2 linked regions of the Tribolium castaneum genome follow. The protein of the gene in region 1 purifies or fractionates together with the protein of each later gene. This does not show direct contact. Links are inferred from orthologs where the notes say so. Each region holds a gene or a part of one and is shown in the gene's direction. Other genes may lie near its edges. The genes, in order: Atac1 and transcriptional adapter 2-alpha.

Region 1 (15,257 bases):
TTTAACCTATTAATTATAACTTTGCAACTTTCGTTCGCAAAATGGAATTTAATTTGAATGTAAGATGAGGGCTCAAAGAGAGAAGGAAACTTGAAAGGCGGTATACCTGTTGTGAAATTTTTACAGAAAATTTAATATTCGTTTTTACTCAATATTGCCTAGATGCTTCACAAATTAACTCTAGACGAGAATTTAATAAAATATGGAGTAAAAATAGATCTCTACTGCGTTAATTAGTCCACTAACTAATTTTTCAGCAAAAAAATCCATTTCTGAGTCAATTTTATCATTAATTAAATCAACAGTTATGAAAGCAAAACATCTAAATTGTACTTGTGAGTCGATTAAAAATCTTGTTGTGATAATGTTGTAGGTCGAGCGAGTCGGCAACATTTTAAGTTTTAATTTGAAAAGTTCGGTTCGAAATTTAACTTTCAATATTTGATCAAAGAAACCACGAATCCTGGCATTCGATTGTAATGCTACAAAATGATAAAACAGAATTCGATAAATAATGAATATGTTTCCCACATTTCACAACTCGATAAATTTGCGAAATTGGCAATCGTCTGGATTTAAACAGGTGTTAAATAATAAATTTCATGTTTCGTGCGCTGATTTATGTCGTGGCTTTTATAATTTAAAAATTCCTCCCTTGCAGGTATATATTTTAAAATTTACGTCGGTTAATATTTACCCACTGGGTAATACTAGAGCACGTTTACAATAAATCGCCCGTAAAACGAAAATATTGAGGCATTTATTTATTCGCAAGTAAATTCCAAGCGTCAATTTATTCGGACCTGTTAAAGGCAAAGGAAACTTCAAGCGAAATTAGAACACGATGAAACAAGAAATTCGCGACTTTGTGGGATTTGTTTCTGAGGAGATATTTCATAAATTTTGAGACGCTGTGCTCCCATAGGACGTGAACAATGTCTTTTCGATGGAAAGCAATAAAACAAATGGTTTCCGCATGTCAACTTCCAGCCTACACAAACATCTATAAAGAGAGATATATTCATATTTAACAGGCAGATTATCGGGAAAGGGGCCCTAATCGAGGTTTAGAGACCTCGTTAAATTTTTATAAGACAAAAATAGCGCGCGCGCTACGGAAGGTTTTATCATTGTAATAAACATTTAAAAATACCCACACGAAAACTAAATTTTGATAAAACTGTTAATAATCTCGAACGAAAGATAATTAATATAATAACATGAGATCGAAAATAAACTGAATTGGAGCAGGCCATGCCTGCGGAATTTTAGCCTCATGTCAAAAATTGACAGATAAGCCTACATTGTAGAATGCTGTTTTAACAACTGAAAAAATAAATTGGTGAATGATGCCTAGCAGAATTTCGGAAGAAACTTCTCCAAGAATTTTTTAAACGTTTATTTACTAAGTGTCTTCCACTGTCATCTGCAACAAAAATAGTTTGCAGATACTATCATTTGGTCTAATTTGTGATAAAAACAATAATTTACAGAATCAAATAAACTATTCTTATTATTAAAAAACCTCACCGAGAATATTAATTTTTGAATTGTTAATGATAATGATACAAAAGATAATTAATAGTTGGTCACTTGTCATAGACAGGATAATAAACCCCGTTCCCCCATTGATTAAAATTCATTTTTCTATTGTTGCCGTCGTATTGTCAGTGACACGTTTTTATTAATTACTTTTCTCGAACCGAAATAATTAAATTATTTATCAGTCAGCAAAAGTCGTGTGTTTCTATCACCCTTGAGCGAATCGTCTCGAGGTGAATTCGTCAGAGACTTATCGAAGCAAACAAATTGTTCCAGGTTGGGCAATAGCGGCAGAAGAGCGTGATTGGAAGTATAGATTATCGATTTATTATGTGAAGCCCCAAGACTCCGGTACGTTCACTTGCGCCACTCCTAGAGGAATCACCAACAGTCTCACTCTGCAAGTTGCAGGTGAGGATTTTTTTTATTATGCAGAACTTTTATTTTTTGTAATTTAGCCGTTCATTGTGACCCCATCTCTGTGTCGGGCCCCCATCTCACCATAAGGGTGGAAGGAACCCGTCTTGGACACACTGCCATCTTCCAATGTCCAATGGGATTCAAAGTTAATGGTGCAGCTAATCTCACCTGTCAGGCTTCGGGTGAGTCGTGTTTGACAAGCACTACTTATGGTTTCAATCCTCAACCGAACGAGGATTTCGCGGGTCTCATGAGAGGCTTTCCAATGTCCGAAATGTCGGAGTGAAATCATATTCGTGGGGAATTTAGATTCGCTTGAAAAAACCGCCATTTCAGAAATAAACCGCCTACTTAAGTAATTTTGAATTAGTTTTTATTTGGTTGGTTATTGACAAAATCTCCGACATTATCTCTGCCGTCCCACGTAATAAACCGAAACGGCAAACATTTATTTCTTTATGCCGTTTTATGTGTAATGCTATATATTTTTTTATGTTTATATTTATTCTTTTTTCTCAGTACTACTCCTAAAATGTTTGATATAAAAAAATGTTGTATTTTTTACGAGGATGAGTTTTATACGCAACTGTTTGTAATTGAGGACCGGAACGAAATTCAAATTTGTTTGTTTTCAAATCTAATTAAATGAACTTACATGTTTAATTATAAAATTGGTTGTTGTAATTACTATAAAATGAGCAAATTGGGTTTATGGCTGAGATAATTGACAAGAAACACTCATACCATGATTAAGTATGCAATAATTGGCATAAACGACTGTTTTCCAATTAAAATTTAAACTAAAATATACTGTGTGACAATAATGGCTTAAAAACTTAATATTTGGTGTCAAAAAATTTATTTTTGGAAAGATTAAAATTCATAAAACATTACTCCTGAATCTTATCACGTCTTATTTAAAAAAAGTTTCGTTAAAAACAAGCCGAAAGTCACCAAATTGAATTCAGAGCGAAAAATGAATGAATTGTGACCACGAAAATTATATTAAAAGTTGTTGAATAAATTGGATACGAGACACAGGAATATTTTTAATTTATTTGCTCTAGTTAGTTAAGAGAATTTCACAAAAGTGTTTTATCCACTTTTCTCATAAAACTCTAAAATAACTAACCCCTTCTTTGTAACTTTTGTCTGAAGTTATCTCTCCCTTATTTCCCGTTGCATTTTACCCCCAGATGCACGTTTTGCATACAAAAGAATATATCTCATAATCAAGCTCCAACTTTACAACCCGAGTACATCAACAAATCGCGACGTTCTAAACCCCAGAATCGTGACTATGTTCACAAACGATTTAAAAATGATGGATACTAATAAACTGCTAAGCAAATAATAGCCATTTTCAAGTAAAATGTCGTACATAGCTTAGTATTAAAATAAAATTTGTTAGACAAAATAATAGAAATGTTAGGTAATTAAATTACGTTTTGATAGGTAAAATAATCTAACTGTTAAATGGTAATGAATTCTTTAATAGGGTTTGCTAAGAAAAAAATAATAATGCGCTAAAAATCAATTGTCAAATTGTTTCTACGTTGGCTTCGTTCCTATGGCAATGTCGCAGGGTTCCAACATAATTTCAAAATTTTTGACATTGACAATTGATTTAAAAAAACAGTGAGGTATAAAATAACCTATAGCATTTAAATTTTTCCAATCAGGCAAATGGTCAGCCCCTGTTCCAACATGCGAGCTCGTAAAATGCGAATCATTAGACACCCCCGGCGGCCTCTACGAGCCCCATTTGCACCTCGAAGAGCACAACAACAGTTACGGAGGCCGTGCTATCTTCAGCTGTGCCTGGGGCTACCGCCTCATGGGGCCCCCAGGCATCGAATGCGAACTGAACGGTAACTGGTCGGGGCCTTTGCCCAAATGCGTCCGTAAGTAACCGCCAAAATTTCGAAAACCAAAATTGATTTATTAAATTTAACCCAGCTATTCAATGCCCGCCCCCGGTGATTCCCGTCAACGGCCACCTCATCCAGTCGGAGGCGGCGGGCATGGACGGGGGCCGCTATGCCGTGGGCAGTTTAGTACAGTTTGCCTGCAGGGGGGCCCACCAGCTGGAGGGCGAAGCCAGCATTATTTGTACCGAGACTGGGTTTTGGTCGCACCCGCCCCCTTTCTGCAAACCGCGGTGCCCCTATTTGGGGGAGCCCGACAATGGGCTGGTGGCCCCCACGAAGTTTGCCTACGAGCCTGGAGATGAGCTCCAGATCACCTGCAGTCCGGGGTTTGAGGCCAGGTTGGAGGCAAGGCCTAAGTGTCTCCCAGATGGGAGGTGGTCGGCCCCCTTACCCAACTGCACCAATTATTCGGAGATTTAATAAGATATTAAGCGTTGAATGTTTGTGATAATGATGATGGGAGAAACATCGTTGATTTTATGACTCGTAATTAAGTATTTTTCGGTTATTTTTTACCAAAAAAGTTGTTACACATGATGATCTCATGCCGAATACAAATTTTTATCAAATTGTAGATATTTCTAGCGATAGTGAATGTATTTACAACGAAATTTATGTACCATGTAATTGATTGGTTTTTTATGTAAATAAATTCAAAAACTGCCTTAAGGTAGTCAATTTATATTCATCTGTAAAAGTTTATGTAATAAATTTATATTGTCAATAAAACGTACAACTGATTGCGAACACTTTTCAATGACGAACGCTTATGGTCAAAAAAAAGTCATCAAGTTGATTTAACTCGAGTCGTAAGAGAAGACCAAACAAAAAATTACAATTTTCCGCTGAAGTAATTTTGTAAATGACTAACTGTTAATAAAGAGGTCGTCAAATGGTGCGTATACACTTTGCCCTCGGTATTTTTTGTTCTCACATGTGGAAAAACTGGGGAAATTAATTAAACCGGACGTTTTCAGTCCGTATTCACTAACACAAAAATAAGTAACCAATTAATTAAGCCAGGATTAATGAACAGTATTTTGTGTTGTTGTTTAAAAGAAGTCTTTATCTTGGTTGATGCACTCAAATAATTAATTCATTCTGTTTCAAACCTTGAGCAAAAACTGCTAATGTCATAATTATTTGTCTCTTTGTATTGGTGGCTTTTCTTTCTTACTTTTGTCAGTGGGATCCACAAAAATAACGGAAAATTCTATTAGATTTTTTTTAAATTTAAAATAAATCGTAGAATTCGCTGAAACAAATTGCTTCGCCCTACGACTTTTAGTTCTAGAGTTATGATTTTTTTTTAGTGAAAAACTAAAAATACCTCTGAAAAAACTTAGTGAGTGAGAAGAAAATAAGCCCAAAAAATCACATTTATGGAATTTTCTGACAAAATTTCTACCATTGTTTTGTTTTTCGTTAGGGACATTTAATAGGTTGGTATCGCGTTGCCCGGCCTACTTTTCCATTTTCGAGTCTTGTTTCATCAAACTCTCGGAGAAAAGCATCGGAACAAGGCAAAAATAAAAGTTCAGACATAATTTGGCCCTTTATCAGCTCTGTTTTCTCGATAAAAATGCAATAATACCAAAAATTGCTAACCTTATAGGTAGCGTCTCCCTCGCTTTTGAACCGGTCCTCCAGCGTTTCTTGGAATTCGTTTCCAGCCGGCAACCGATGATGTCATCTCGTCAGATTTCCAATAGAAAACTTTGATTTCAGTCAATTTGGCACTAATTACGCGAAAAACACTTTTTTAACAACACATAAAAGCAAAAACTTAACGACGCGCTTGTGAAAAAAGTGCGTCCCCACTAGACCACCGCGTGACATCAAGTCAGGACATCTCATTGGTTGGTTCGTCGAGACGTCAAATCGAGAGGCGCGCGATTTCAAATTTGCGTGCTCTCTACATTTGAGGTTCATTTTCGACTTTTTGCTCCAATAACCGAATTTCACAAACGAGCAATTTCGTTTAAATTATTTTTTTTCACCATTCGATAAATAATTTGAAGCACATTCGGATGCCCCTTTTAATTTTTGCCTTATTAGGCTTCAAGATAAAATGTTCGTTAATGGTTTTGGGGAATTGGAAAAAGAAAAAATAATAGTTGTTTCAAAAATTTTATTCAAAATAAACTCTACACTTGAATATTAAAACACGTAGTCCATGCTTTGGCATTCACTTGTTTAAGGATAGCCCTTAGGGACGTGCCTGGGCCACACTCAAACGTCCTTGGGAAATAATCCCCTTGACTCCTCTCATAAACAACATGAAGAAGTTGTTCCCACTTTACAGGTTTAACAATCTGGAGAAAGAAAAACTCAAAACACGAAAAAAAAAACACTTCTAAATTACCTGTTTCGGCAATTGTTTTTTGATCTGCGCTGCGTCTTTGTACTTTTTCCCGTCAACATTTGAATAAACACTAATTACAGGATTGCTCACTTCTGATTTATTTAATGCCTTTCGAAACGGTTCAACCGCTGGTAACATTAAATTGGAATGGAAAGCTCCACTAACCGCAAGTCTTTTAACTTTACGTAAATTTAATTCTTTGGCATTTTTTTCCAAATAATCAAGCGCCTACAATTAACTGCATAACAACTACAAAAATGAAGAAAAAAAATTACAGATTCGCTCCCCGAGATGACTTTACAATGGGGGTACAAATAATTGGCAATTTGACATTCGGGCATTAAGTCGCCTTTATCAGTTGCCCATTCCTTGGCTTTGACTAGTGCCTGGTTTAACTTCGTGTCAGGACCGTACATTACTGTGACCATCCCCCCCTTGTACGCCTCACTAGCCAATTGCATTGCTTCCCCCCGAATTTGCACCAATCGTAACCCTTAAAAAATTCCAAATAAAATTCAATTTTTTGCCAACTGGTTGTAAAATAAACCTCGCTCAAAACCAATCGCCCCCGCAAACACTAACGCTGTAATTTCCCCCAAACTGAACCCTGCTGTCCCCACACAACTCTCAATAGCCCTAGGTCTCTCCTCTTTCAGTCGTTCAATTGCCGCTAAAGAACTGACCATTATTGCCGGTTGACTATATTTTGTTTGGTCCAATTTGTCTTTGGGACCCTCAAGACACAATTTTAACAAATCGTACTTTAAAATATAATTCGCTAACTCAAACAAATCCCTAGCCATGGGGTACTTGAGCAAGTCATTGCACATACCGACAAATTGGCTCCCCTGACCGGGAAATAAAATTATCGAGGACTCGCGTGGATCATATTTAGGTTTTTCGATAAATGAGACACCCTGTTTGCGAATTTTGGTGCCTTGAGGGTATGGCAAAGTAGCCCATTGTTGTTCTTGTGTCTGGGGGTGCAAGTCTTCAAAGGTTGCTGATTCGTCGAGGAGTTTCTTTAGGGGAGATTCTTGCGTTTTTTTCTCATCACAGTTACGATTTGAGGACAGGGAGAAGGGGCGAAGCCCTACCAAAACACGATCGCAGTCTTTCAGAAAATTTCGTGTAATAATTTTAGTAAACATCATGGTATAATTAAACTGTTAATCAAGCAAAACACACAAAACTAATTCAAATAAAAACACATTTTAATGATTCAACTTAACCTCGAATGTCAAGTTGCGACCATATGACCGATTGTTCGCCCAATCTAAACTTTAATCCAAGACGCCAAATTTATCACCACTGATGCAAACTACTCTACTTGAGCTAGCTTTAAGGAAAATTAACGAAAATGAAGATCGGACGGAACCACTTTCGTAAATTTGGTCTTGTTTAAGGTTGTCAAAAGTAAGGTTACAGGTCAGCTGTCAATTTCACGTGTGTAGTGTTTATTTCTTGTATTTTTTTGTAAATTAAGTTATACGAGAGTGAATTGTGTAATATCTAGTCAATTTTTTACAAACAAAATGACAAATACGCAAGAATCGGACATAAATCCTGAAGAAGATTTGTACTATTTCGAAACGGATCACTTGGCTTTGAGAGGAAATAAGGACTATAGTGAGGTTCTTAAAAACTTGCTCATTCTGTGTGCTCAGAGAAAACAAGCAATAAAGGTAAAGTTGTGTGAATTTAGTTACGTTTCGATTAAAAAAGTCTTCAGGACTATAACAAAGCAGTAGAATTGAAGAAAGAAGCACTGGCAGACCCGGCCAAAGTCTTGGAGAAAATTATAAAAGGGGAGTCTTTGGGAATGCCAGATATGCACCGCATGCCTGAAGTAATTACAATTTTTTTGAGATTTTTTTCACCTAATTACATTAGAGAACAAAATATAATTTTTAATAAAGCAAGGAATATTTTGTTCATTTGGTGCATTTTAGTTGCCGGTTATTGACTGGTCAAAGTACGATATTAAAATCCCGGAGGAAAGTTTCAAATTGATTTATTCAGACGGTTCTGAGACTGTTAAGAAAAAACCCGAAACGCCGAAAAAAGAAACGAAAATTTCACATGGGGTAACACATTTTGTAAAATCGGTTCAAATAAAATTGCTTGATTCTATAGAAATGGACAACAGAAGAGCAGAAACGTTTAGAAGAATTGCTCCAAATTTATCCGCCTGAACCGGTTGAAATGAGACGGTTTAAAAAAATCGCTGATGCTTTAGGTAATTAATTAGGCGAAAAATATTAAAACTTGGTTAAATTTTCTTAGGTAATCGAACAATTCAGCAAGTCACGAGCCGAATTCAGAAATATTTTGTGAAATTGTACAAAGCTGGATTGCCAATTCCTGGCCGAATTCCAAAATCTGCCGAAAAACACAAAGTGAATTTACATTATTTTAAGGCACCAAAAAATTATTTTTTTGTAGAGAACGTCATTACATAAGCACCAGCGTCACAATCATTATTTATGGAAACCTACAACTTTTTTCCCCGATTTATGTGTTCCTGTAGTAATGAATGACTTGGATAATGTTCCTGGACCTAGTTCGAAAATTACAGATGAGATACAGCCTTCTACAAGTTCCAATTATCTCATACCTTCGGTTTATCACCAGGAGAGTGAGATTTTGCCCCAAAAAAGTGACAGTGAGTTACAGCTGGAACTTTTAAAACGGATACGAAAAGTTAAAATTAGGGAGAATGAGAGTGGGTCTAATTTCCAACACGTGGGATTTAAAGTAAAAAATAATAATAATTTAGCCAATTTTTTGGTGATTTATTTTCTTATAGTGTGATTATTGCAACGATGAACCAATAATTGGCACCAGATGGCATTGTAACACTTGCAAAAATGACTCAATTGATTTTTGTACAGACTGTGTTTTAACACAAATTTATTCCGATAATAGCCACCCTTTAAACCACAATTTAATCGCATGTGGTGATAGAGAAATTGAAAGTGATTCAGAGTCAAATAGTGGCAGTTTGGATCAAAATAACGAATCAAGTGATGAAGAAATGAGCGATATTTCGGATAATGTCAAGGACCAAGTGATGGCAAACGGAATGGACGAAAGCGAGAAAATTGATAATAAAAATCAAAGTGAAGAAATGCCAAAGTTGGAGTTTGGTAATTATGGTAATGACGAGTTTGTGGACGGACTTGGGTCCGATTTGTTCAGCGAAATTGAAAATCTTTCATACGATTATTTGCACTCGAATTTGTTGCTTGATAAGGATTGAACGTTTTGTTGTTGAAGATTTTATTTATTTATTGCCTTTGTTTGTATGTAAATTTGTGATTGCAATGAAAAGTTTTTTTATATGTTAGCTTTTCGTTTAACCCTTCAGAGCTCTCCTGAAAATCGACGTGATAACGTAACAAAAATCAATGAATAAAACTTTGTTTACAGCTTTGCAAAAATTAGTTACCTTTTTGTTGATCATTTATCTTAATTCTTACATAACTTTTTTAATATTATTCAGTGCGTGTTGTGAATTTTTGCGTGCTTTTAATACGCATTTATTGAAAGTGTTTTTTTTGGTCAAATATTTCGAATTTTCAGAGTTTACTCATAATTTTTTGTAAATAATGCATTCTAGACCTGATTAAGTGATTTCCTCCGTTGTTTTTACAAATTTCCTAAAATTTATTGATTTTTTTAGACTTAATTCTACAATTTTTTACCTATAGTTTAAGCAAAATCTTTCCAGTTTTTTTTTAAATTCCATTGAAAAACAGTTTTAAACAAAATTCTACAAGTTGAATTTAATTTATTCACTGCAACTAATTTATTTAACGTATCACTGACAACTTGACTACACTTATTATTTCATTGAGCGGTCTTTATTCAGTAAAATAAAATATGTATTTAACGTTCTTATCTGTCAAAAGAATAATAAATCATTTATGATGTTTTTATCGTTTCTTATCGTAAAAATACATTTCCGTTTATATTTCATTTTATTACAACTGCAATTATAAATTACATAACATCTCAATAAATAATTTCTTATGTAGCATTTGGATTATCGGGTGGCACAGCCGCGAATAAAATCTGAATAAAACGTGTAAACTTTCCTAAAAATTGCAACAATTAGTAAATTACCCCACAAAAAATTGTAAACCTCATACTCATCAACAATTCCGGTGTTCGCTTCTTGTAAACAAACCAATAATAAACCAAAACCCCCACCAAAATAAACGCCAAAGCGAGCAAATATTTCGGAGTTGGATCCGTAATAATGGGCGTAACACTCAAATAAATAGCTACCAATAAAACGAAAACACAAATCCATGTAGGCACCTGAAAAAAATCATTAAACCAAACCGAAAAAAAGATTTTATATGTACTTTGTAGGGTCGAGGAGCATCTTTCATAGTCCTCCTTAAGACAAGTAACGAGACAAAAGCCAGCCCGTAGAATATCCAAATGAGGAAACTAACAAATTCGATCAGTTCAACAATATCCCCAGCTACGATAAAAAGGAGCGATAAAATCCCCTGAGAAACGACAGCGAATGACGGAGTTAGACGTTCATGATGAACGAAGGAAAGACTTTTGATCATTAGGCCGTCCTGTCCTGCCACATAACACACCCTTAAATTATTTAATTCGTTAAAAGACACACAAAATTAATTTTTTGGTACCTAGTGACCCCAAATTGTATACTTAGGGCACATCCAAACGTAGCTAACGCCACTCCTAGTGGTATCAAAAACGCCAAAGGGCCTAAAACCCTTTCACCGAAAGTTACAGCAACAGCAGGCGAATTTATCATCTCAGGTATCGATAATGCGGTCATGTATGCCATGTTCATAAAGACATACAAACCGGTGACTATGGGAACACTTATCATTATGCTCCTCGGGATGTTTCTGCAATTATTCAGTCACGTTTTTGTTCAGGAATTAAAAATTACTCACACTTCAGGTCGTTTGATCTCTTCAGTGATTACAGTGACCGCAGACCTGTAAAAAATGGTGAGTGTGTGCCATTTCCAGGCCTGGTTTTTACAATTACAATTACCATCCGTCATAAGCCCAAAGTCCGCTATAAAAGGCCAAAGCGATGCTTTTCGGTGTGTACTTTGTGCCTTCGAAGCCCCGGTTTAAATTGTCAGTGTTGCCTTTGATGATTTCGTAAAGGCCGCCAAAAATCACCACCAAACAGGCGAATACTTTAAATCCGCCGAAAATGTTCTGCACTTTGACGTAGAGTTTCACGCTTGAAACGTTGATGTATGTTATTATACCTACAACGAGTACGATTTCAAACTGAATAGCTATTATCTAGCGTAGTTTCTCAAGTAATATTGGCTTGGTTACAGAGTTACTTTTTTACATATTACTTAGAATTTTCTCTTTACGTTTATTTTATTTTTAGTTATTCTGGGTTTATAAGTTTTTTCCTACCTAGGGCGAGTAAGGCCACCGTTTTGACCGCCTTCTTCACCTCTTCAGAGTCGTCCTGTATGCACATCAGATCTAGCAACGGTTGGCACAAATATTCGGAAAAAGTCAGTATAATAACAGCGACTTCTGCCGGTTTGATTATCACAATCATGACCCAGGAGTAGATGAATGAGGGCAAATGGCCCCAGAATTTGTGCAAGGGGCCAAACGAGTCCATATAGTAGGCGTATTCGGCCCCTGAACGTGGGATAACAGTGCCTAGTTCGGCAAAAGCCAGAGCTCCTAAAATGTTTGTTGGAAAAACATTTTTTTACGAAAAAAAAATACCTAGAAGGGAGATTATTCCGCATACTGTCCATACAACTAGACACATTCCAACTGAACCGGAATGTTCGAGTGCTGAAGCTGGAGAGACGAAAATTCCGGATCCTATCATGACGGCAAGAATTAGATTTATGGCGGAAAAAAGGCCCAATTCGCGCTTGAGTTGGACGCCTTGTTTGGCGTCGCCATTTGTGGCCGCTATGGTCCCTAAAAATTTATCATTAGACACTATTTTCTATTGAAATTTCGTAAAACAGGCTCAAACATTTCCTAATTAAATAATGTTCAAAATTATGTTATTTTCTCGCCTATTTTGATCTGAAAACTTACGTATTCGAAATTATTGTCCGTATCTGAGTGACTTAGCTTTTTTTTAAAGGCGAAAAAAATTAATAAAACATTTTTCTTTGGGTATTATTTATTTAGTTCTATTTTATTTTCAAGCTTTGTAAAATTTACAAACTCTTCGTGGATGCGCACGCACAGCCCCAGTTACAAGGTGGTAACAAGGAAGAAGAAAAAGCTCCCCTATAAAGAACGCTGTCTCTTCTCTGCTAACTGTCCTAAGGTTCAGACATGTTATGTGTTATGTTCATAACTATTAACGCCTTATTATTATAACATTATTAAAATCGGATTAAAAAAACTGACCTTTGGACATGCAATTATATTGTTAGGATTCTGCCCTGTTTTTAAGGTATATTAAAAACGTTAAAATTTTGAGGCACGAAGTAGAAACAGCATTTCTATTGACTACTGGGAAAATAAATAACTATAAACTTCACTATAATATAATATTGGTGTTATGGACTAATTTAAAAGTTCTGGTTTAGGATATTACTGTGAAGTTTTTGCTTGGAAGTTCATCAGGAACTCCATTTTCTCAATTGTTACCATTTTTCTTTTCATTAACAAAAACTGGAACTGACAAAGTTTTTGTATTTCTTCAGTTCAAAAAATAAAAGCAGAAAATAATCTAAACTCAAGTTTTTTTATACTGTTTCAGTCAGTTTAATAAATACTCTCTTAAATCAAAATCACTTGCAATCGTGGATTTCTAGATTAAACCACTCTTATGTTTGTTTACCAATTTACACAGGACAGTACACTGACTTCTTGACATTAAATTATTTAATGTCGAGTTTAATGTTATTGTTAAAAATTTTTAAATAAAAATATAATAGTAAATATTTTATTAAGCCGTACAATAATTTTTTGCACTTCTTAATATTAGTTAATTTATTAATCATTTAATAAATTTTAATTCGAAGGAATTGTAGAAAAATTCTGAAAAAATTCACAAACATAGAGAAAAATATAATAGCAAACTCTGAATTATGTGCGTCATTAGTTTTTCATATATATCTACTAAAAATATAATTTTTGTAGATTCACTCCGCATAAAAATTTTAAAAAATTTGTTTTTCTCCGTTATATTAGAGGTTTCCATAATAAACTTTGAAACCATCACCGGCATAGTATGCTTATATCTATTAATCTGTTAGTTATTTATTATCTATTACTCTATCTTTTAAATACGTACCGACTAGTAATTTTTATTGGTCTGTAAAGGCGAAAAATGTCTGTTTTTCTCTGTTAATTTTACATAATAATGTCCATTATTCTTATCTATTAAATATACGGGATGAGTCTACTAAGTACATAATGACGTCATCGACTCTTTTTCGTTTTTTTTTACAGATCCAATAAAATAATACAAAAGGTGATAAAAAAAATCATGTCTGACATTTCTCTAGCGACAAGCTTGAGGCATTAGATCACAGAACAACGTCAAAAATGCCATTATTTTTGCAAGTTCTGAGGATTTAAACAAGTTTTTAGACCAAAAATCAAGTTTTTCTTCCTGTTTTTATTAAACTCGAACAAAAAAATGACTTTATTGTCACTCGTATCGTATTTTTATTTGTTACATTTTGCTCTAAACATTTTGTAAATAAGCAATAATAAGGTATAATCAAATAGGATCATGAGCATATGATTACAACGTAAATTACGGGTAAATGCTGTTTACTCGATTTGGTAATCAACAATTTTAAGAACATTTAAATTGTTTGGCAGCCTAATTGTTAATTTGAGTGCTATGTACAAAATTATGAGTGCATCTCAATACAAAAACCAATTCTCACCGTAAAATTTAAAGAATTTTTGTTTTAGAGGCTGCATTTTTTGCGGAAGGTGTAAATTATGACATAATCATAGCCTATTGTCCTGGAAAATGTAACACCCCCTTGTTTCCACGGCAACCTGACGCATGCGGAAAATGGGGAAAGTCAATTTTCATGCTCATTAAAATACAAGGTGTTCCAAATTAGAATTACGTTCAGGTTTTTTTTTCATTTATAATTATTGTTAATTAAGCCACCCTTTGCCACAAGTGTTATTTTTCGTTACACAATAAGTTTAGATAAATCTTACGTATTACAGTACATAATCAATCATCTAAGAGTGTAATAAACACTTATCGATAAAATGCATGCAATAAAACACTAAACTTTCCACAAAATAACAAAAAATTTCAACTTACCGGTCATTTTTAATGAAATTACACTTGAAAAACGAAAAATTGAAATTACTGCATTGCTTTAATACTGAAGAAGTGTGTGGTGTGCGTTCACCAGATTCGAATAAACTATTGTGAGCACTGACAACCGTTCATTCACATTAATTTTAAATTACAGATATCGAAATCGTATCAGTAATCTCTTGTTTAGTTTAAAGAGGATAAGAGATAGCAACAATTTCAAGTTGAGCGCTACTACACACTACAACGTCTGAACAAATAAGAAAATTGCTTGTACAATAATGCGTGAAAATTATGACCAATACGCGCACAAATTACTCCAAAAATCTCCGATTTGTAATACATATAGTAATAAAAGCGATAATGTTAATTATGTTGTCTGTTCAATATCGTGTGCAATATCGAAATTTAAACAATGTGGTGATTAGTAAACAAATACTGATGACTCCTATAAACATCTGATGTTAAGCAATGGACGAGTTGAAATTTTCCCAAAATATTATGTGTGGTGATTGTGAAGGGTAATTGGCGTAATTATTATATAAAGAGAGTGGTAATTCGAGGCTTCCTTTTGCATTGACTTGCACTCTAGTAACTAATAAATTAAGTAATTATTAAGGTCAAGTGTTGTGTGAGATGAATTGTAATATCGATTTTTTCGCAATGATAAGGAATCATCATTCATCGGCTTATCTGTA
Region 2 (15,724 bases), on another chromosome or scaffold:
GTTTGTGTTAATTGCTTGTAATTGTTTTGTCGTTGTTGTTAATAAATCGAGACGGAATATGGAGTTTTATTCGATTGGGACGCTAATGGATTTGTCAAGGACAAAGGGTGTTGAAATAAAGATAACAGTAGCAAGGATTGGAGATGCAAATTGGGTTGGAGAAAGCGCAGCGATTTTTATTCACGTTGCATTTTAATTAAGTTGTTTGACGCTAATCTGACACCGGAAACGACCAAAATAATCAACACAATAAAAGTTATCAAGAGAAACCCAATTACACAGATAATATTTACCTACAAGCACGATAAAAACCGAGCCGAGATTATTGCAGTTGGTTCTTGGCCAATAAATGATTAAGTTAATGGTAATTGCTTTGTTTTACCGCTTATTTGTGACTCAGGCTGTTTTTTTTAACAGAAAACTTAATCACATTACGTGGTCATTTCGCCAGTTTCATCTGTAAATGTTTACACTTACACGCTTACTAAATAATTGGCGCAGTCAGTAGGATTCGCAAAATTATTGCAAAATTTGTACGTCTTTAAGAAATAATATTTGATTATCGTATTTAGTTAGACGATAATATTTAATTAGAATACATTTTTTCACTCAGTTTGCACTAGTTTATCAAACACAAACAAAAACCCGCATAAATTGGTACTAAGAGCTTGAGATATGAAGTCAGGACTTTTCAACAGAAAACTTAATCACAATACGTAATCATTTCGCTAGTTTCATCTGTAAATCTTTACACTTACACGCTTACTAAAAAATTGGCGCAGTCAGTAGGATTCGCAAAATTATTGCAAAATTTGTACGTCTTTAAGAAATACTATTTGATTATCGTATTTAGTTAGACGATAATATTTAATTAGAATACATTTTTTCACTCAGTTTGCACTAGTTTATCAAACACAAACAAAAACCCGCATAAATTGGTACTAAGATCTTGAGATATGAAGTCAGGACTTTTTAACAGAAAACTTAATCACAATACGTAATCATTTCGCCAGTTTTATCTGTAAATCTTTACACTTACACGCTTACTAAATAATTGGCGCAGTCAGTAGGATTCGCAAAATTATTGCAAAATTTGTACGTCTTTAAGAAATAATATTTGATTATCGTATTTAGTTAGACGATAATATTTAATTAGAATACATTTTTTCACTCAGTTTGCACTAGTTTATCAAACACAAACAAAAACCCGCATAAATTGGTACTAAGATCTTGAGATATGAAGTCAGGACTTTTTAACAGAAAACTTAATCACAATACGTAATCATTTCGCCAGTTTCATCTGTAAATCTTTACACTTACACGCTTACTAAAAAATTGGCGCAGTCAGTAGGATTCGCAAAATTATTGCAAAATTTGTACGTCTTTAAGAAATAATATTTGATTATCTATTTAGTTAGACGATAATATTTAATTAGAATACATTTTTTCACTCAGTTTGCACTAGTTTATCAAACACAAACAAAAACCCGCATAAACTGGTACTAAGATCTTGAGATATGAAGTCAGGACTTTTTAACAGAAAACTTAATCACAATACGTAATCATTTCGCCAGTTTCATCTGTAAATCTTTACACTTACACGCTTACTAAAAAATTGGCGCAGTCAGTAGGATTCGCAAAATTATTGCAAAATTTGTACGTCTTTAAGAAATACTATTTGATTATCGTATTTAGTTAGACGATAATATTTAATTAGAATACATTTTTTCACTCAGTTTGCACTAGTTTATCAAACACAAACAAAAACCCGCATAAACTGGTACTAAGATCTTGAGATATGAAGTCAGGACTTTTTAACAGAAAACTTAATCACAATACGTAATCATTTCGCCAGTTTCATCTGTAAATCTTTACACTTACACGCTTACTAAAAAATTGGCGCAGTCAGTAGGATTCGCAAAATTACTGCAAAATTTGTACGTTTTTAAGAAATAATATTTGATTATCGTATTTAGTTAGACGATAATATTTAATTAGAATACATTTTTTCACTCAGTTTGCACTAGTTTATCAAACACAAACAAAAACCCGCATAAATTGGTACTAAGATCTTGAGATATGAAGTCAGGACTTTTTAACAGAAAACTTAATCACAATACGTAATCATTTCGCCAGTTTCATCTGTAAATCTTTACACTTACACGCTTACTAAAAAATTGGCGCAGTCAGTAGGATTCGCAAAATTATTGCAAAATTTGTACGTCTTTAAGAAATACTATTTGATTATCGTATTTAGTTAGACGATAATATTTAATTAGAATACATTTTTTCACTCAGTTTGCACTAGTTTATCAAACACAAACAAAAACCCGCATAAACTGGTACTAAGATCTTGAGATATGAAGTCAGGACTTTTTAACAGAAAACTTAATCACAATACGTAATCATTTCGCCAGTTTCATCTGTAAATCTTTACACTTACACGCTTACTAAAAAATTGGCGCAGTCAGTAGGATTCGCAAAATTACTGCAAAATTTGTACGTTTTTAAGAAATAATATTTGATTATCGTATTTAGTTAGACGATAATATTTAATTAGAATACATTTTTTCACTCAGTTTGCACTAGTTTATCAAACACAAACAAAAACCCGCATAAATTGGTACTAAGATCTTGGGATATGAATTCAGGACTTCGATGAAAATTATACAGTATTCAAAGAATTTTCATTCATTTTTTTATTCACTTCTCCGTTCCAGAAGCTCTCTTATTTGAAGTGTGTTTACTGAAGTAGTCTACAAGATCGAATTAGTTCAGAATTTAATGGCGTTTTTATTTTATTTTTCCCCAGACACAGCTAAAGATTCTGACTATTTCTTCAATACGTTTTTTAATTCATGTTTTTCCGTATGTAAATTATATTATTGGAAAACGAAACAGAGAAAACCTGACATTAGTTTTTATCGAATAGAGACACAAATGAACTTTACTGTAATTGTTATTAATTTTCCTGTGCACTTGACAATTTACTAATCGAATAATTTGCTCATCAAAGACCTTGGGTAATGAATTTATAATGTTTTAATGGTTTTGTCGCTAAAAAACGCAATTGCTAGACTGGAGTGAGAAGTAGTGAGAACAATGCACATTTGGTAGATTATCTCCTAAATGGAAATTAATAAAAAACTGTTTAAATAATTACAATTCGTATTTTTCCGATTGTCTCACTCATCCAAGACCTTCAACTGTAACCGAATATTTAGCATAAACTTTCGTTCTTCAATCTCCTCACGCACGAGAAAGCAAACTCCTTATCGAACCCATTTGAATAATAGGACACGTCCGTGTCCATTGCCGTTCCCTCGAACATCCCCCCGATAACATTCGAGCACCTGTTGTGCTGTTTGATAACAACACGTAGTGTAAATAAGTGATAAATTCGATTGAACGGTCGGGATTAGGATTGGACCGTCCAAGGCAAGCAAGAGTCGGCACTTGGAGGCCGAGGGGTTTACCTACCTGGAGGAAGCACCAGGACTCCCGCCGCATCACTCAACTCGCACTCACCGATAACGAAACAGCGGAAATTAGCAAAGTTGGGAGCGTGATTGTTACACGATGGAGGCAACATGTGATATGAAATGGTTTTTGGCGCGCCGGTCAAGTCCAATTAAACTTTGCGATGATGCACGACGGAGTCCCTGCCTCAAGGTGGACGTCTCGGGGATTCATTCATTTAAATAAAAGCGATAATGCGAGGTCGCAAACTCTCAATTGAGATAACAGCGGTTTTATCACCTTTTCTACTCATTAAAGTAAATTAATTCGAAGTTATTGCGATTATATTCTATTCAAATCGGTCTAAACATTCCTGTGTACTAAAAATAAGCGGCCTTCGCGTACCTAAATTATAATTGCTTATTAAATAAACTAACCGTCAAATCCAGCAGCGGACTGAGATTTTTGGTACTTTAATAAAGTGCGTTTTTTATATCGCTGAACATTCAATTATTTTACAACGAAACGACCAGTCTAGTCTTAATCTGTTAACACAATGCTGCAATTCAGTGGAAGTCAAGAAATAATCAATTTTGGCTTCGCTCGTATTTCGAAAACGCTACAAATAAAAAATGTAAGAAACAAAGTTGTAAAGAATTTAGTTTCATTCAAAAAATTTAAGAATCCAACTTGAGGCAGTTTATAAACACCAAAAAGTTTCTAAATCGCTGTTTGCTGGCGTAGTTTTCATTCGTAAAGTTGGCATTTTTTATTTTTTTGCAGTTTTCTGATTAATTTTGAATATTTTATTTTATTATACATTACAGCAAAAGATCCTCTGTAAAAATTTTAGAGACGAAATCAGTAAAATAACAGAAACATGGACAAATACCTACCGATAAGAATTTTGTAAAGTTTTTGTTTAGTTTAAAAACATTGTGATGTATATGTTGATATCGACTGCATATTTTCTGCACATTTTATGATTTTACTCAAAAAGGTACATTTTACAAAAAAAATTACAAGGGATAGAAAACTTTCTGAATGGTATGAGTTTTAAGTAAAACAAAAGTCATATTAATTTGTGCTGCAAAGTTATGAAGCAATTTTTGGCAAGGGGGCTCTCGTAGCCCGATTTAACAATGTTCTACAACCTTACAATTTGCACTATTAAATGATTATCTATAATAACGACTGTATACCAAATTTTATAAAAATTGGATAAGCAATTTTAAAGATAAAAACTATAATCTGTACTTCTGGGGTAACTTTTGCCCCCATAATTATGGAATTATTAGCCTAAATAATTCCATAATAAAACTTTTTAGAAGGACATACTACATTGTTACTTCTTTGACCAGAACATTTGGCGTCTTAAAAGTCAAGGTTGAATCTCACAAATCTAGCGGCTTTCTCAAAAGTAAACAATGAAAAAAGGCCCAAAACCCTGCAAAAAGCAAAGCCAAAAAAATTGGGCACATGAAAAAAACAGGGTAGTGCCCTACAAATTTAGTGTTTTCCCAATAATAAACATCCGAAAAAGAAAATTTTGATAATAATGCGTTCAAAGGAAAGAAATACATCCAAAACCCATTATTTTTGGCAATACTTCAACGAAAACGTAATTTTTTTTATCGAAATAAATCAACAAAATTTGAGGCACTTGAGGTGAGTTGTTGCCAATTTTACCAATAATTTTTTTATTTATAGGGAAGTATTAAAAAAAAGACGTTTAAAAAAAACAAGGTTTATTTATTGACTGCTTTCAAATTTAAACCAAGAGGAAAACAACCATTCACGGTATTCCCACTGAATTGTGAATGAGTCCAAAAATTCAAGTGATTGGTTTCTAACTTCATTATAATGGCTGACCATAAATTGACCAATCATATCCAAAACCACAATTTTCAATGAATCAAAAAATCCAAACTGATTGGTTTTTCTCCGTAATTTTAATGGCCGACCTCAAACGGCCCAATCAAAATGCTTACACATTTTACAACAGTCACTACGTGCCCTACGTTAATTCACAAAATGATGATTAATGAGTCTGTCTTTGTTTTTGTTGCATCTCACATCTTCAGTTTTTCTCTGAATTCTACCCCCCTAGGTAATGTTGGGCACAAAAATTGGGACAATGAGAGGAAATAAATAAGAAATATTGAATTGAAACGCTTTTATATTAATCAAAAAGATTCAACCAGTGAATTCTTGAATGACATGTTAAAAATCAAAGCGCATGCGCGCGCACTTTTTCAATTTGACAATTAACATTTAAAAAATCCAACAAAGAAGACGAAAAGTTCGAGGAAACTGTCCCACGTTATTAAAAGTACGGAAGGGGGTCATGGAGTAGGTAAATGTTGTTTTCAAAACGGCGCTGATGTTTTTTTGCAATAAGTGTTTGTGTCCACATTGGCGCTGGATGCTCCTAACATCAACAAATGAAGAAATCGTATCTAATATCCACTTCAGGGCAAAACACATGCAAAATTATTATTTGGTTTTGCTTTTGTGAGTATTTTTGACTTATGGTGATCAGGCCTTTCAAAAGGTGTTATCATTCAAAAAATTTTTGACGAGATTTGTAGATTGCAAACTCTTTTTGACTTATTTTTTAACATTCCATGTTTATCACTTTTGTGCCGCAGTAAATAAGTAAATACGGCACTACCTAAATCCAAATCAAACTACAACCCCTACACTCATATAACGTATTATTTATTTACAACTCAAATATTTTTACTTTTTTCCTCCCACTCTAGCCACCCCCCGGAATAATTCTTTATATCTTTGAACCCCAACTTCGTCGCAATCTCGGACGCAAGGGCACTACGTTTCCCCGAACGACACGAAAAAATTAAGGGGGTGCTAGAATCAGGTTTAGCCTTTTTGTAAGTTTTTTGAAATTGTTCAGAAGGCATGTCTTTTAACACTTTCTCGACTTCGCCAAGTGGAATATTGATGCTGTCAGGAATAACTCCGGTTTCCTGCAATTCGTGGGGCTCCCTGACATCGATTAGAAGAGTCTTAGGAGTCGTTTTTACTGACTTGACTTCATCAAATGAGGCGATTTGCGTTGCGAAAAGTCTAAGAAAGACGGGCGTTTTGTTCACAAGGGAGAGGATTTGGGGCCCCCTTGATAGCGACATTGGTAACCTAACCTAAAAAATAATTATGTAATTAACTTAATTGATTAGTTTTTGTAAAGTGAACTACCATAGCGCCAATAAAGCGATTTTTACTATTTTTTATCGCCTGTTTTATTAAATTACGACAGTTTTGGCAAAAATCAGTTTGGAGACTTTTTACAGTCACCGTTGGTATCACACAATTCACACAAAACAAATTAGAGGTCCCGTGGCTACAATCAAATTTTCCCCAATTATTTTTTTTTTCACGTTTTATGCCGATTGCGTTCGAATTACATAATAATTTCATAAATAATCGTCAAAAAACACCGCACTAGTAAAGTGCTAGTGCTTTAAATTTTGCCAGGTAGGCAGCGCTTGCCGCTCACATAACCTATGCACATAACCTAAGTTTTTGTGGTATCCAAACAGTTTTCGAAAAAATGGCAAACGCAAACACCGACTTAACCGAAGAAGACGCCGCTGACTTGCAGTTTCCCAAAGGTGAGCCCCCTTGTTTACTTCTCGTTCTCAACTGAGGTTTCAGACTGTGGCCCCCCTGCGTTTTACTCTAGTGACTCTGATAGTGTTTGTTCGAATTGTTCGTGCGATTTGGTCGCGCCTTACATTTATTGCGCTTTGTGTAAAGTGAATATTTGTTCGCTGTGTTTTTCGAAAGGTGCGGAGTTTGGGGGGCACAAGAACGATCACGATTATCACATAATCCGCGACGATTTTCCGGTTTGGGGTAACACGGACTGGACGGCTCGGGAGGAGGTGGTGTTGTTAGAGTCGTTACAAAAATACGGGAACTGGAATTTAGTGGCGAAAGAGTTCCCAAATCGGAGTGTGAGGGAGATTAGGGCGCACTACGATTGGTTTTATTTAGACAGAAAGGGGTCCAAAGACTTGCCCGAGGCGAGCAAAAGGGACTGGTTTTGTGAGCCGGTGGTGCCCTACAGACAGCGGATTAGCGACACCGATGAGCCCCCTCGCTACTCCCCCAACACAGTGGGGTACAAGTCTTTGGCCGGTTATAACCCCGCGAGGTCCGATTTCGAATGCGAGTTCGATTCGTCGGCTGAGGATCTGCTCTCGAACCTTAAACCGGTTGATAAGGACGATCCTCATTTTGACTTGATCACAAATCTTCAATGTGCGATCATTCAGAGTTATAACCGGCGGTTGAGGGAGCGCCAAAGGTGGAAAAAAATCATAAGAGAACACGGATTGATTATTCTGCGGAAAGTTTACGCTTGGCTTCATCGGTATGACGTTACGATTACACGTCCTGTGTATGAAAAACTGATCCGATTTATGCAATTTTGTACTCCTGTCCAGTTCGAAATGTTGATGGAGGGGTTACACCACAGCGGCGAACTCAAAATACAAATTCTTAGGTTCATATCAAACGGTTGAATTAATATAAAGTTGGTTATTTTCCATAATAGCGGCTTATTGAGTTCCAAAAAAACACGACGGAGAAAAAAATGTTCACTAAAGATTAATAAAAACAAAGAAAAATGTTAAAACATACTTCAACAGTTAGTGGCGTGACGAAAAATAATACAATTTGTATTTTGGAAAAAAAAACACTTGTAAAATTCGATGAAAAATTCTCAAACTCTTCAATATTCACGGAATTTTACAAAACATTGTGTTCAACTCGTAAGTTTTTTCCAGAAAGAATTCACTTTTTCTATCTCGTTGCACAAATAGCTATTTACAATGGAACCGTTTTGGTTTAAAAAAATCTCGCGAAAAAAGTTATATCACTCGCTAAATGCAGAATTAACATTTTTTTCAAACAAATCGGCGCTTCAACACTCGAAAAAGCAAATATAATGCTAATTTCGTTCTAATCGCAATTTTTTTGGCTTCTTTTTGAGCAAATGTTGCGAAATAAATGTGTTTTTATGGATGAACGTGGTAATAAATCTCATAAATAGTAAAATATTGTCATCTTCGAGCAGATTTTTTAAGCAAGTTTAGCAAAATTTCAGTAAAAATTGCGTTTTACCTTAAAAAAACGAGCTTTAAAATATGATAGTTAAGAATATAATTACATATATATTTAATTATTTTATTTATTTATATAATATATAATTGTTATTATTATTTATATTTTATTATATTAAATATAATTAAAAATATAATATAATAATAACAATTTGGTGATTACGTTTTTTGAAGAAATGCTAAACTTTCGAAAAAGGCAGAGTAATTAAATTAAATTTCTCGTTCAAAAAAGGAACTTAATTGAGCAAAGTAAACTAAAATAACCCCAATTTAGATTTAATTCTGTGAATTTCTAGCTAGAGAATTTTTAAACACTTTAATTTTTACCTTAAAACATGTATAAAGGCTCACAAAAAGCTGCAACATAGCATTAATTTTGGTCTTTAAAAATCTTCGGCTTGCAAAAGCAAAAGTTTTGACTTAATTTTGTGATTTTTTTGAGTAACATCTTTTTTTGATTGATTGACAAAACTCCTCATTTTTTGGCCAAGAAAAACGATCGACTTTTGTGTTATCTCCTCCTGGTTTATGCTTTTATGTCATTTTTAAACACAATTTAAAAAAAAATGCTAAAACACGTGAAATTGCAAAGTAATGTTTTTTGGCGAAATATCACAAAATAAGAATTTTCTAATTATGTTGTAATATTTTAGACGTGTTTTGGCAAGATTATCCAAACTAAATAAGTAGTAAATTTACCAATCCAAAGTAAACAACAACAATTTCGATTTAATTTGTGGATTTTCAGTTAGTTTTTGCAATTTTTTTTATTTTAAAACATGCCCAAAGATACGAAAACGACAACATTAACACAATTTTTGGTGTAATTGTAAGGTTAATAAAAATATATGAAAGAGAATTTTTAGCTAAAAACGAACTAAAAGGCTTTGAAGAATTTTTGACAGACAAAATTCTTCAAATAGCTGTAGCCTGACGAACAAGAAAAACGTTTGACTTAGTTTTGTGATATTATTGGTATTTCGTTCTAACAAAATCTTGCAAAAACGAAGTTACTTTACACATATTTCGGCAATTTTTTGAGAAATTTTTGCAAAGCTCGCAAAATAAATATTCTTTTATCTGGTTGAAAACCTTGGTTAAACATGAGACATAGCAAATAGTGCTACATTCGATCCAGTTCTCAATTTTGAAGAATTTTTTAAAATAAATAACTTTCTGGGAGAAAAACGTAGTAAAAAATTTAAAAAACAGGATAATAACATCGTTTTCGACTGAATTATGTGTTTTTTCAAGCACGTTTTCCTTCAGGAAAATTGCATTTTTTACCTCAAATTTATTTTCAACTGAAATACAAAAATTTAGCTATAAGTAATTTAGTGTTTTAATGACCACGGTTTTTGAAGAAATACTAAAACGAGACAAAAAATAATGAATTTCGATTTTTTTACGATCAAAATCTTGCGAACTAAATAAATCTCTAGTTCAAAAAGTGTAAAGACTATAATTTTACATTTAAAACATGCTTAAACAACTGGAAAGTCAACTATAACATCATTTAAAAAACGAGCTAAAGAAATTAAACAAGTAAACAAACAAAATAATATATTTTCGTTTTATGTTTACGACTTTTAAGTATGTTTTGACGAGATCTTGCCAAGCAAATAAATCTTTAAAAACGAACTAAACCAAGCAAAACAAGCTAAAATAACAAATTCGCTCTGATTTGGTATTTTTGTATGCGCAAACTTTTTAGGTCACTAATCAGTTAATTACCAAAGTGATTGCATGGTATGGATTCCATATCTATATGGGACATTGATTTTTTTGGAAAACATCAATAAGTCGCTTTTATGGAGATAAAAGCGCCCAATTTTATAGGGGGGTTTTGCAGATTGTGTGAATTACGTCAACGCGGAATAACGTCACTCGCCGACGCCCGACTTTACGTTAAATTGAAAGAAATTCACGACAAGTGCGAAAACGAACTGAAGACGCTCCACGCCAGCGCGCAGTTTAACTGGAAGTTGACCAACCGGAGCTTTCCGGTGGAAACTCCGAAGAAAAAATCCGGGTTTACTCCGATTGAAATCATCGGCATGCCCGGTTACGAAAAACTGACTCCTTCTGAGAGGGAGTTGTGCCGTACTGTACGACTGGTACCCATCACTTATCTCGAGCTCAAAGACATTCTTATAACTGAAAACAAGAAGATGGGTTCTATTAAACTCAAAACGGCGAGAAAAATACTCAAAATTGATGTGAATAAGACTAGGCGTTTGTACGATTTTTTAGTACAGGAGGGTTACATTGTCAAACCTGTGTCTTAGTTTTCTCAAATATACTTTCGGTTGTGAATGTTTGGTTTTATTTCTTCTTTACAGAGTTTGAGAATGCGGAAACTTTGCTCATTTCGGAAGTCCACATGTTGTTGGAGCACAGGAAGGCGCAGAACGAGTCGGCGGAAGATGAGCAAGAGTTTTCCGATGTTTTCATGAAGACTCTTACTTACACGGATAGGTTTAGGAAATTTAAAAATAAGGAAACGATCTCAGCCGTCAGAAAGTAATTTTTTCATTAAATTTTGGGTTTTTTATGTTTAATTGTTTGATAGTTTGTTGATGCAGAAAAAGTTGCACAAGTTCGAATTAGCAGCCATTGCTAATCTGTGTCCTGAAACCACTGAAGAGGCAAAGTCTTTGATTCCCAGCTTGGAAGGACGATTCGAAGACGAGGAGTTGCAAGCCGTCTTGGACGACATCCAAACTAAACGCAGTATACAATACTAGAAGTTTTTATAGTTGTAGAAAAAATACAGTTTGTAATTTGGGAGCATTTTTTTACTACAGGAGGCATAATTTCGTCATAATATGTATTTATATTGGGTTTTAATAAAAATTTGCTAATTTTTTGTGTTGTTTTTTTACCAAAAAAAACTACAAGATTTTTTTATGGGTGTATTATTTCTTCTTTTGTTTAAATTCGGAGAACTATTTAAACAAAAGACGAAAAAAAAGTAATACCGCAGAGTAAAAATGAGAGCGCGTTGAGCATCTCGGTGCAAAATTGTTTTAAATTATTTTAATTCAACCAGTTTTTAAACGTTTAGAACTTTTTTAGTCACGTCTTCAGATCAAAAAGTTTTTCTTCAAGATTTTATGAAACTAGAACGAAAAAAAATCACCAAATTTGATCAAAAATTTACCTTTAATCACAGGATTACGTCACAAATAACATTATTTTTTCAAGTTCTGAGGATTTGAACACGTTTTTGGACTAAAAATCAAGTTTTTCTTCTTGTTTTTATAAAACTAGAATGAAAAAAACCCAGATTTTGTCAAAAATGAGCAAAAATATACTTTTTCTAAGTGGTTATTTAGCAAAATCTCAATTATTTCGCAAAATTTATTAAAGAGTAAGTCAGTAATTCACAGGATTATGTCAAAAATGACATTGTTTTGCAAGTTCTGAAGATTTAAACACATTTTTAGATCAAACATTCATTCATTTTTTTTCCTGTTTTTATTAAACTGGAACCAAAAATTTACCTTTTGTAATCGTTCACTTAGCAAAAACTCAATTATTTCGCAAAATTTCTTAAACAGTAAGCCAAGAACTGACAGGATTATGTTAAAAATGGCATTATTTTTTAAAGTTCTGGGGATTTAAACACGTTTTTAGACCAAAAATCAGTTTTTTTTTTCTCCATTTTTATTAGACAAGAAAATTTTGTAGAACTTTGTAAAAGTGAAATAACCTAAAAAATTAAATAATTCTAGCTTTTTTTGGCTACTACTTGTACAAATGCTTTAACTATTAAAAGAAAAATATTGGAGGAATAAAGGTTTGACAATTTTTTAGGATTCGTTCAGTTTCTGACATTATTTAAAAAAAAGTATTATCTTCAAAGCAAAAATCAAAAAATGATTAATTCATTTTTATTAATCTTCCGGATTTTTATGTAAAAATTATAACACCAGAGCCTTATTAATTATTTTACATTATAAATATTTAATGCCGAAAAAAAGCTATTTAAATATGTCCAATTTTGTCGATTTTTTGAATTATTTTTGATGAAATGCGATAAGAAGGTCCTAAGTTTTTGACGAAAAATGATTTTTAAATTTAATAAAATTGTTTGCTTAAAAACTGCCTTTTTCATCTGAAAAACTCTAACAATTTAAGAATTGTTCTGTTACCAAACATTTTTTTAATAGTTATAAAAAATACAGTATTTAATTTGGGAGTAAATTTTGCGTTTTAATGAAAAACTGCTAATTCTTTGTGTTGTTTTTTTAATAAAAAACTCCAAGGATTTTTTTATTTGAATAATTGCTGAATATTTGCAAGATCCTCATTTGCCACAAAATACGTTTGCAAAATACGCATAATATTGTCGTTAGCTTGAAAAAAATGTGTAAAATTTCCAATTTCAAAAAAAACTTCTGCAGTGATTCCAAAAAAATTTCTTCGAAATTCTAGTAAATTCGTATTCCTTCATTCCAACTTATTTGTTTTATTTCTTTCTAAATTATTTTAGAAAAGAAGAAATTCAACGTAATTTTCATTCCAAGTAATCGTATAATAATGGTATATATTTTTTTAGCTATGGTTATACAATATGTATGTTCAGTATATAGCGTGTGTTATTTTCGATAACACTGGTTTGCAAAATTTTACTATTTGTCTGTTGCCGCTAATTTAAGAGTTGAATCCTAAGTTGATTCTTTCTACTTTTGAGCGTAAATTTCAAATTTGCCATCATCACGAGTTTCTAGTGATAATATGAGTTACAACTTATATTTCAAAAAAATAAAGCAGATGGGAAAAATCTGTTGGCAGTTGTGAAATCAGTGTTCAACAAGTACTCAACAACAGCAAAAAATATGAAGCAACAGTCAGTCAGTCAGTAAATATGCATTTTCAGTAATCAGCATCCAGTAATCATTCAGCAATAGCAAAAAAATCATCTGACACAAAAATATTCTGTAAACTTAAGTAATTCCATAATTAATAATTCTAAAAAGACACCAGTAATTAAAAAAAAGAACTTACATATGACACCAGGAGTTCAAAAAAAATTCTAGCAATTTCTAGTATACACAGTAATTCGAGATAATAAATTCTAATTCTTGCTATAATTCCAATTTAATTCTCGCAATTCTAATTTAATTTTGCTAATTCCAAAACGATTCCTGTAATTCCGTTGATCAGTTCCAACAGTTCTAAGATATTAAACGTAGTTATAAGCACTTCGGATAAAACCAAAGGAACTCCTCCAGTAATTCACAATGATAACATTAATACGCAAACAATAATTTTAAAAAGTCAAGTCCAAGTTCTTCCGAAAAAGATTTCCAAAAATTTGTACAACTAACCTACTGACTGCGCCAATTACATAAGTTTGTAAAAAATTTTACTCAAAGTAGTGATATTTTAACCAACTTAGATTTAAACAAAAAACCTAATTTTGTGTTTTTTTTTCATAAAAAGAAAAATGTGGGTGGAATGTTATGTCTTTTTTAGCATTCTTTGCCTCTCAACTATTCTAAGGTAATTAATACGGTAATGACATAATATCCTAATTGTATTATTAATGACATTCGACTATAATTGCGCCAAAGTTGGGTAATTCATACAAGTTAATTAGGTTTTATTAAAATTATCGCATAAATTACGCACACACATACCTGTATTTATATTTTTCCCCAACAAATCGCCCAATGAAACCAACTGTGTGGTATTTTTTCAAAAAAATAAATGTCACAGACTTGGACTTGGCAACAAAAATATTTCGTTCCACTTTCAAACCGTCAATCTCTCGCGCAAATTTACAATTTTTCGGCCACTGTCTCACTATATAATACCGGAGTACCAACCCAGCAATCAGTGTAGTACCACAAAGTACCATCAAAATGATATCACAAGTGAGTACTAAACCACAAATTTGGCCCATCTGAGGGTGTTTTCAGGTCGCAATCGCCGCCCTTTTGTTGGGCGTAGCCAGCGCTGGGGTTGTTTTGGGCGGACTGGAGGACCACGTGGGGGTGGTTGGGCTGAGCCATGGGGTCGTGGGGGTGAGCCATGGGGTGGTTGGGGTGAGCCACGGGGTCGTGGACGTGCACACCCACCCAAAATACGCTTTCAAATACGGAATAGAAGACCATCACACCGGCGACAAACACCAGCAGTCCGAGGTCCGAGATGGGGATGTTGTCAAAGGGGAGTACTCCCTGGTGGAGCCCGATGGTACCGTGCGCGTGGTCAAGTACACCGCTGATGACCATAATGGGTTCAATGCGGTCGTCCATCGTGTGGGCCATGCCGTGCACCCGCAAGTCGTCGTCAAGAAAGTGGTACCTGTTGCCCATGGCATCGTTGGAGGAGTGGGACTCCTGGGGCATGGGTACGAAGGAGGAGTGGGACTTCTGGGGCATGGATACGAGGGAGGAGTGGGTCTTTTGGGGCACGGTTACGAAGGGGGATACGGTCATGGAATTGTAGTGCATCATGGAATCGGGGGATACTAATGTAATGTTGCGATTGTCTTAGTTATTTAATTCAATAAACAATAAATGTTTGATTAAGAAAGGCGTGTTATTTGACCTGAAAACTGTTGCGTATATTACATTATGATTGATTTATTCACGTGAGAGATTTATGTTTCGTGTATCTAATTAAAAGTGAGTATTTAAAAGTGCTGAGAGAATTTTTAAATAAGATTGGGAAATTCTTTATTTTCCGATTTTTTTTTCAAAGTTAGTCATTCATTTTTTCCATTTTCTATAATAAAAAACTCATCGTCTTTACACCAGTAATGAAATAAATCTATCGACAACTTTTACAATACCTAGAATCTGATTTATACTCATCATGCTAATTATAAAATAGATTGGATCGGAATTGACTACACGAAAAAGTATCAAATATTTTAGTTGCAAAGTTAAAAAAAAAGAATTTTGAGGTAGGTGTCGGTTGTAAACGTGTAAACCCCTACTTTTTCGAAATTAATTTTCACGAAAAAAAAGCATTACTTTGTAGGCCTTGTTATTAACTATTTCTTCAGAAAATTTCAACCAATAACTTTCAGGCATCTTACAAAAACCATCTAGCATTAGACGAATATGTAATCAAAAATTTGATGCACCATGAAAATA

Evidence for each region.
Region 2: the proteins of Atac1 (region 1) and transcriptional adapter 2-alpha purify together in Drosophila melanogaster (affinity purification with mass spectrometry; 4 studies listed by BioGRID, with this or other methods). This does not show direct contact. The link is inferred for Tribolium castaneum from reciprocal best matches to the Drosophila melanogaster genes Atac1 and Ada2a.

What each region holds. Positions count from the first base shown.
Region 1 is NC_087394.1:37,098,970-37,114,226, reverse strand, and holds Atac1 (ZZ-type zinc finger-containing protein 3), read left to right. Parts: upstream 1-7,608; 5' UTR 7,609-7,793; coding exon 7,794-7,943; intron 7,944-7,990; coding exon 7,991-8,107; intron 8,108-8,210; coding exon 8,211-8,345; intron 8,346-8,394; coding exon 8,395-8,497; intron 8,498-8,544; coding exon 8,545-8,657; intron 8,658-8,703; coding exon 8,704-9,015; intron 9,016-9,067; coding exon 9,068-9,520; 3' UTR 9,521-9,598; downstream 9,599-15,257. Other genes in the region: hig (locomotion-related protein Hikaru genki), read left to right, coding at 1,819-1,953, 2,001-2,144, 3,645-3,866, 3,922-4,313; beg (probable malonyl-CoA-acyl carrier protein transacylase, mitochondrial), read right to left, coding at 6,041-6,208, 6,259-6,486, 6,534-6,751, 6,806-7,412; b(0,+)-type amino acid transporter 1, read right to left, coding at 10,291-10,358, 10,413-10,584, 10,632-10,878, 10,929-11,156, 11,205-11,249, 11,308-11,533, 11,694-11,975, 12,021-12,224 and 1 more.
Region 2 is NC_087398.1:11,838,550-11,854,273, reverse strand, and holds transcriptional adapter 2-alpha, read left to right. Parts: upstream 1-6,952; 5' UTR 6,953-7,033; coding exon 7,034-7,094; intron 7,095-7,137; coding exon 7,138-7,990; intron 7,991-10,461; coding exon 10,462-10,897; 3' UTR 10,898-10,925; downstream 10,926-15,724. Other genes in the region: rhodanese domain-containing protein CG4456, read right to left, coding at 6,192-6,623, 6,679-6,681; adult-specific cuticular protein ACP-20, read left to right, coding at 14,483-14,494, 14,540-15,091. UniProt on the Drosophila melanogaster protein: Component of the histone acetyltransferase (HAT) complex ATAC; predominantly involved in acetylation of histone H4, including at Lys-6 (H4K5ac) and Lys-13 (H4K12ac).